2 linked regions of the Schizosaccharomyces pombe genome follow. The gene in region 1 interacts genetically with each later gene. Each region holds a gene or a part of one and is shown in the gene's direction. Other genes may lie near its edges.

What was found. A genetic interaction does not mean that the proteins touch.
Region 2: mutations in car2 (region 1) and lys3 impair growth when combined (synthetic growth defect), as found in Schizosaccharomyces pombe (one study listed by BioGRID).

Annotation. Positions count from the first base shown.
Region 1 is NC_003423.3:3,808,522-3,812,782, reverse strand, and holds car2 (ornithine transaminase Car2), read left to right. Parts: upstream 1-1,933; 5' UTR 1,934-2,055; coding exon 2,056-3,372; 3' UTR 3,373-3,724; downstream 3,725-4,261. Other genes in the region: rib7 (5-amino-6-(5-phosphoribosylamino) uracil reductase), read left to right, coding at 1-321; acylpyruvase Oaa1, read left to right, coding at 595-641, 791-1,409; trm140 (tRNA (cytosine) methyltransferase), read left to right, coding at 3,988-4,118, 4,176-4,261.
Region 2 is NC_003424.3:528,439-532,501, forward strand, and holds lys3 (saccharopine dehydrogenase Lys3), read left to right. Parts: upstream 1-1,840; 5' UTR 1,841-2,083; coding exon 2,084-3,190; 3' UTR 3,191-3,543; downstream 3,544-4,063. Other genes in the region: GINS complex subunit Psf3, read right to left, coding at 1-22, 129-187, 235-333; SPOM_SPAC227.17C (uncharacterized protein), read right to left, coding at 1,363-1,728; NLI-interacting factor-like phosphatase Psr1, read right to left, coding at 3,994-4,063. UniProt on the Schizosaccharomyces pombe protein: Catalyzes the NAD(+)-dependent cleavage of saccharopine to L-lysine and 2-oxoglutarate, the final step in the alpha-aminoadipate (AAA) pathway for lysin biosynthesis.

The DNA of each region.
Region 1 (4,261 bases):
GAGGATTCACCTGACAGTTGGTCGGATTATGTGGCGCTCGACAAGCTGTTGCAAAATGGTGTAAACAGAATCATGGTTGAGGGAGGAGCAGAGCTGTTAGCCAAAGCTTTTGGGTCTACCGACATTGATGCTTATGTGGTTACCATTGTTCCCAAAATTTTTTCATGTTCCAATACGACGGAAATTAAAAACTTGAATAATTTAAACTTGACCACAAATTCCCATTGGTATCCATGCGGACCAGATGTGATTTTCACAAATTATTCCGATGAATTTTACGAATCCTATAAAAGCCTGTTAACTAATTCCGACGCTATTTAGTAAACTCCTTAGCGGGAGTCTTTTGGAATATTTAATTACCGAAACGGTGTATCTATTTTTTTTCGCTAAGGCTTTTACCTATTAAACAGATTGAATCAACTTTATTTGATTTTGCATATTTATAATTTTAGGTACAGAAATAGCGAAGTTGAAAGCTGTACCCTAGTAAGACAGTTTCAATCCGCCAGTCAACCTGAAAAATTTTAAAGTCCGTGGACTTATAAGCTACCCATATTTTTCGAATACTACAGTCACTCACTAAAATTGTCAACCATGTTGTCACGGGCCGGCAAGGTTGTTTGTATTGGAAGAAACTATGCGTACGTTGTTACAAGTTCAAGATTTATTGATGATTCGAAGATATGGTTACTTGGAATCAAAAAAGCTGAAGGTCCAAAACGTCACTGAATTGTCGAGGATCTTAAACTTTTATTTTACATTTGAAGTAGAATACTAATTTTATATTTAGTGCTCACATTCGTGAGTTGAACAACCCCTTCCCCACCAAACCTTTCTTTTTCCTTAAACCTACTAGTGCCATTGTTGAACCTGGCCATGGAAACTTAATAATTCCTCCCGATGTATCTGCTCATTATGAAGTTGAACTAGGATTGATAATGAAGGATCGCCTGCCTGCCAGACGTCCAGTATCTTCCAATAGCTGGCTCGATTCAATTGGAGCCTACTTTGTAGGAATCGATATGACCGCTAGAAACATACAAAATGAAGCGAAGAAAAAAGGTCTCCCTTGGTCCTTCGCGAAAGGTTATGACACCTTTTTACCCGTTGGCCCCATCATTCCTAAGCATCTTATACCTGATCCCCACAATGTCATTCTGGAATTGTCACTTAACGGCAAGGTGGTCCAGAAGGACAGTACATCTCTGATGTTAAACAAGATTCCTAAAATATTCTCGTCAATCACTGAGGCCATGTCCTTGAATCCTGGTGATTTGGTGCTAACAGGTACTCCAAAGGGCGTTGGTCCTGTGGTACCGGGAGATATTTTGTCTGCTCGGTTGCTTACTGCGCAGGAGCAGGAAATAATTCCTAGTAAATTTGAAATCAAAGCAGAGAAATGTGATTAAATATTTACAAACATGCAACTTATGCTTGCTTTGTTAACTCTTTTACCACACAAAACAACTTTTTTTTGCTTTCTACATGAAGATTGTTTCTTGCTCTCAACATATGATTTATTTGGTTACAATCCCTGAAATAAACTAATTAGCGACTATAGTCATGTTTACACCTCTTTTCGCTTTGCGCTATTTAATATTTTTCATCTTATATGGAAAAGCCCTTCTTTAAATACCAGATTTACTCGAAGTACCGTTTCCGGTAGTAAAACGCATATAGAAAAAATTTAGGGTAGCAACAATAAGGGATTTCTCATGGTTAATGAATTCTCACACACATGTTTTGCACTTCGTCTCTCTTGCATATTTACCATACAAACTCCGAACACCCAAGTTCCGCGGACTCCATTATTGGAAATTTTCATTAAATAAGTATAAGGAATGTGAAGGACTACTTTTAAAAGTACATATAAGATCGAGCTCGTACGAGATAAGGCAATATATTAGTAGCATTGCCGAACCAAGAATTTGCCAAGTCTGATCTTCGAATCTGAAAAAGAGTAAACATCAAGGCAAAGTCAGATTATCAAAGGAGTTAAGAGATTATTGTGTAATCTTGAATCAGTTTTCTTTAGGTCTTAGTAAATTCTTCATTATGTCAGCCGAATCTTTGTTACATAACACTTTCTCTACCGAGCAAATCGAGGTTCTTGAGAACGAGTATGCTGCTCACAACTATCATCCTTTGCCCGTTTGCTTCTCCAAGGCTAAGGGGGCTAAGGTTTGGGATCCTGAAGGAAGAGAATACCTTGACTTTTTGTCCGCATACTCTGCGGTCAACCAAGGTCATTGCCATCCTAAAATTATTGAAGCTTTAGTTGAACAAGCTCAAAGAGTTACTCTTAGTTCTCGTGCATTCTACAATGATAAGTTTGGTCCCTTCGCCAAATACATCACTGAATACTTCGGCTACGAGATGGTCATTCCCATGAACACTGGTGCCGAAGCCGTCGAAACTGCTTGCAAGCTCGCTCGTCTGTGGGGTTACAAGGCTAAGAAAATTCCCACTGATGAGGCTATCATCTTGTCTTGCGTTGACAACTTCCACGGTCGTACCATGGGTATTATTTCCATGTCAACTGATCCCGATGCTCGCGATAACTATGGTCCTTACTTGCCCAACGTTGGCCCTAAGATTTCTGGTGCTGACCGTGTTTTGCGCTACAACAATATCGAAGATTTGAAATATTACCTTGACACCTTTGGTCCTAAGGTTGCTGCCTTTTTGGTTGAACCTATTCAAGGTGAAGCTGGTGTCATGGTTCCTGATGATGGTTACCTTGAGGAAGCTTACAAGTTGTGTAAGGCCCATAATGTTTTGTTTATTGCCGATGAAGTTCAAACTGGTGTTGCTCGTACCGGTAAGATGCTTTGTATTGAGCACTCAAACGTTAAGCCTGACGTTGTTATCCTGGGTAAAGCTATTTCTGGTGGTGTTTATCCTGTCAGTGCTGTTTTATCTTCTCGTGAAATTATGCTCAACTTTGAACCTGGTACTCACGGCTCTACTTATGGTGGTAACCCTCTTGGTGCAGCCGTTTCCATTGCTGCTTTGGAGGTTGTTAAGGAAGAAAAATTAACTGAACGTGCTGCTGTTTTGGGTGAGAAATTCCGTACCGCTCTTATTGAATGCAAGTCTCCTATTGTTCAAAAGGTTCGTGGTCGCGGTCTTCTTAACGCTGTCGTTATCGATGAGTCTAAGACCAATGGCCGTACTGCCTGGGATCTTTGCTTGATCATGCGCTCTCGTGGTGTATTGGCCAAACCTACTCATGGTAACATCATTCGTTTCTCTCCTCCCTTGGTCATTACCGAGGAAGACTTAATGAAGGGTATTGAAGTCATTAAGAAATCTTTGAATGATCTTCCTACCATTGATATGACTCCTTACGCTGAGAAGCCTATTCATTAAAAAACAATGCTTTAAACAAAAAAACTAGACGATTCATTCTTACTTACCTCCCTTCTAATGTTAAGGGTTCGATGACTACAGACCTTCTGTAATTATTGGTAACAATCAGTTTATAGTTTCTTACTGATGTAAGATTTTGACAAGCTAATTTGTTGATAATGGGAAGTGGTTTTTTACTTTACTCAAGCAAAAGTTGTAATTTATTATATATATAAGCACCCATTTATTGTAATTAGCGGGATGTTAAAATAAAAAATTTTGGACAATTGGATACCTTTGTGAATGAAAATGATAATTTGGTATAGCTTAGTGATTCATATAAAATATTTATATTTCTTTTTTTTATTTCAAATTATTTTACTTTCGTGGGCAGAAAATATCAATAGTCCGCTTTATTTGCCGTACTGCATGTAATGTATAGTTGTTGAAGTTAAAATTCATATTACCACAAGTTCGAAACCACTTTTGTAAGCTAAACTAAGAGTAACGTTTGATTAACTTTGGCATTCTGTTTTACATTTAATCCTCACATCATTTGCATATGAAACGTTTTCATCAACAACCAGTACCTAGTAGAAACCACTGCAAGTGGAATTAAAGAATTATTGGTCATAGATGGATACAACACCAGATAATTCTGAGAAGAAAAAAACTTCTTCTGTAAGAGAAGCAACTTTTTCAATTAATGAATCATTTGGGGGTCGTCTGCTCACAGAAGAAGAAGATGTTTTCGAGCAAAATGCGTGGTAATACTAAACAAGTTCATATGAATTGCATAGTACTAATTTACTTTAATTGTTCAGGGATCATGTAGAATGGGATGATGAGCATTTAGCATTGGCCAAAAAATGTATAGAGGAACAAAAACTATATCCTGTAACCGAAAAGG
Region 2 (4,063 bases), on another chromosome or scaffold:
CATATGAATACTAACAAAAGAACTATAAAGTAAGCAAATAAGCAAAATTATCCAATTTTCTATAAGACATTACATGTATATAATGTAACATGCAGAAAAAACCAAAAAAAAAAAAAAACTTTACTTACTTAATTGCTAAAACCTCTGCCAGCCAAAAAGGAAGTTCAACTTTAGAGCCCGTAGGAACCTAAACTGTTTAGAAAGTCAAGTTCTATTTTTATAAACTTCACTAACCATACGCCCTTCATGGCCTAGTCCTGGAATGGAAACTGTACTAGTACATGGAACCTTTTGATTTTCAGACAAGATACTATCAATATCATAGTAATCCATTTTTTTAATGTCTGAGCAGAAGGAATGATAGAAGTGTTATTGTTATTTTATCAAAATATGTTCATTTAGAAAAGTTGCAGTTACAAGGTAAAAGTAGGTAGATGCAACGATAAATTCAAATTTGAGTTGGCTAAGATATAGTGGATAAATAATGAACTGTAATTACACCAGTACTAATCAACAAAAAAAATAGAGATAAAAAAGATTTATTTTTACTTTTCTTAACAGAGCATCTAGTTCAAAAAATTAGTGCTGATAAATATTGTATGTTCGAGTACTAAAAATTTGCTTCAATGTTTAACTCGAAAAGTATGTCATACATGTGTATATTCGTCCTTCTGAAATTGGTCGAAAAATTTTATTAAAAAAAGGAAACTTTGTTCTATAGTTTCATTAAAGAAACGCATATGCTTGTTTGAATGTTATACCTATTTATGAAACTTGCTCATTATGCGATCAAAATTTACACAATCTTTCCGTAAAACTGATTTTTTTAAATGATTTTTAGTCCGTAATCTACAAAACATGATTGCATTGTATTCAAAATTATTTTGCGTATTAATTATTTAGTATGTCATTTCCAAATGCAAAAAGGTTTTAACACCGACATAGGCCAAATTTCATAAGTTATTCGCCAAGTTTCATCAACAGGTTCATCAAGTCATATACGCTTTAATCCATACTTTAGATGTCAACACCTTCGAGTTTATCAGCAATCTTTACCTGAGTAAATAATCAACCTGCTGCCAAACAATGTTGTAAAATCAAAGCAACAATTTGTTGTTCGTTTAATTAGTTACTCATAAAATTAAAGAGAACTCAGAGTTTACTTGGAAGGTAAATTAAATAGAAGTACCCCGCCAACTATAAACAATTAGTTTCAAAGGTTAAGCAGACTAGGATATACAGGAACTTTACATCCAAGACATCATCAAATATGCTATTCCCCCAATGTTATACGCAACAAATGGATGCCTTCGTAAGAATTGATATCGACGTTTGGTGAACACAGCACGAAACGTTAAAAACTTATTCACTACTTTTTGGAGAAGTACGCATCTTCCAAATGTCTTCACTATTCGGCCCTTGCCTAAACTTCATCCACTGCTGAAGACGCCGCTTACGAAGCCCTTCTTGAGCCTCTTCGTGAGCCTTCGACTTGGTTGACAGACACCATTTAAAGTCTTTAAAATTTCCCTTACATCTGTTGTATTCACCATAACGATAGTAATGATTCATTTGTGAGAACACTGTTAAACACATGGCCATTTGGTCAAAGTAATACTGTAAACTACACGGATCCTCAGGAATCCCTTTTTTCAAGTCGAGTATTTTATCTAGTTCCGCATACTGACCAAAAGTGCTTTTTTCATCATTTTCTTTAAAATTATTCATTATTTAAAAGCATACTAGTAAAAATCAAGTGAATTGTGCCTAGGATAGGTAGCTAACGTGACTGCCACTGAACCTGTGTAGCGTATTAGATCCATCAAGATCCCTTCTGCTCATATCATTGCTGATCTGTAAATTGACCGCATCAAATTTGATCTCATTTATATCGAGATTGATCTATATTATTTTGCCAATTTGCAGTATATAAACTTATTTGATTAAGTTTTTGGTCTCCTTCGCCACGTCTTCATTTTGTTAGTTTAAATTTTTTTGACTAACTTAGAAAGGGAAGTTTTTAAAAACGTTGAAATACTTTTTCGATTTAAAAATATATATTTAATTAATTTTCTGTTCCAAAATGGTTGCTCCTCATCTTTGGTTACGTGCTGAAACCAAACCTTTAGAAGAGCGCAGTGCTTTGACTCCTAGAACTGCCAAGATACTCGCCGATGCTGGATTTCAAATTACCATTGAGCGCTCTTCCCAACGTGCTTTCAAGGACAAAGAATTTGAGCGCCTTGGTTTCCCCATGGTTCCTGAGGGCTCATGGCGACATGCACCTAAGGACGCGTACATTATTGGTCTCAAAGAGCTTCCGGAAAATGATAACAGTCCTTTGAAGCATACTCATATTCAATTTGCTCATTGCTACAAAAACCAGGAAGGTTGGCGTGAAGTCTTGTCCCGATTCCCCGCTGGCAATGGTCTTCTATATGATTTGGAATTTTTGCAAGATGACAATGGCAGACGTGTTGCCGCTTTTGGTTACCACGCTGGTTTTGCTGGATCAGCTATCTCATGTTTAGTTTGGGCACATCAATTATTGCATCCTAACAAACAATTCCCTGCTATCCGTCCGTTCCCCAACGAAAAATCTTTGGTTCGCCATGTTGCTCGTCAAGTACGTTTAGCTTTGAAAAAGAATAACAACCAGTATCCTCGTATTCTGGTTATTGGGGCTCTTGGTCGTTGTGGTACTGGAGCGTGCGATTTAGCATCAAAGATTGGTATTCCCTTCGATAACATTCTTCGCTGGGACATTAATGAAACTAAGAAGGGTGGTCCCTTTACCGAAATTACGGAATCAGACATATTTGTTAACTGCATTTATCTGAGCATGCCTATTCCCAAATTCTGTACCGTCGAGTCGTTAAATGTACCTAACCGTAAATTGCGTGTTGTTTGTGATGTTAGCTGTGACACTACCAATCCTAACAATCCTATTCCAATTTATAATGTAAACACTACATTTGATCATCCTACAGTTGAGGTTAAAGGTGTCACAACTCCTCCTCCTTTAGAGGTCATTTCTATTGATCATCTTCCTACTTTATTGCCAAGGGAATCTTCCGAAGCATTTAGTGAAGCTCTAATTCCTAGTCTTTTGGCTTTGAAGGACGTCGACAATGCTCCCGTTTGGGTCAGAGCTAAAAAACTTTATGAAACCATGGTTCAAAAGCTTTAAAATAAATGTTATTTAATTTCAAAGTTCCGGGTCCTTTATATTGTTTCACCAAATTATTGAATATTATTTTCTCAAAAATTAACTTTAGAATACAATTTAGACGGCATTTTCGATGCTCTGGACATTTTTTCCACGTACTTGTTAAATTGTAGCGGTGTTGCATAATACTACCTTTTGATTTGTTATTCACGTTACAATATATATTTGACTAATTTAAATATGATAATATACACATTTCTCTGCAAACCTCCTTTATACTTTTCGCCGGTCATTGATTAATAATTAAGAAACAGGATTTCATCCTGCATTTGCCACTTACCTATATGGTAAATATAAATCTTGAAACTTTCCCCAATATTTATTGCTTGCCTTACGAAGTTAAATTATAGGCACAGACATCTTTGGCATTGGAAAGATTTAGTAACAATCATAATGTAGCACTTCTTAAAAAATCTAATTTTAGAACAAAAAGGCTTAAAAAAGAATGGTTCCGCTCTTTTAAAAAATAGTAAAATGTACAATAGCAAGGTTTTCGTAGGTCGACGGACATAACAAGGGGAAAGAGAAATAAAGCATGTAAACGTCAATAAAACATCTTTGATTCTGGATCAATCATATGCCAAATGAAGAAAAATAGCATTTATAACAACATGAAACCATATTTGAGACCTTTTAACGATGAAAATTTATTAAATAAAAGATAAAAAAGAAAGAAACCGTTCAAGTTCAATGAAAATTTCGTCGTGAAGTAGAAACCAAGATAATGGAAAGGCTTCGCAAAGCCACAAATTTTCCAATAGTCATTATAACTGAAGATTAAGGACAGTACTAACATCTGGAACACGAGCAAGATGTTCAAGAAATGGAATTAAA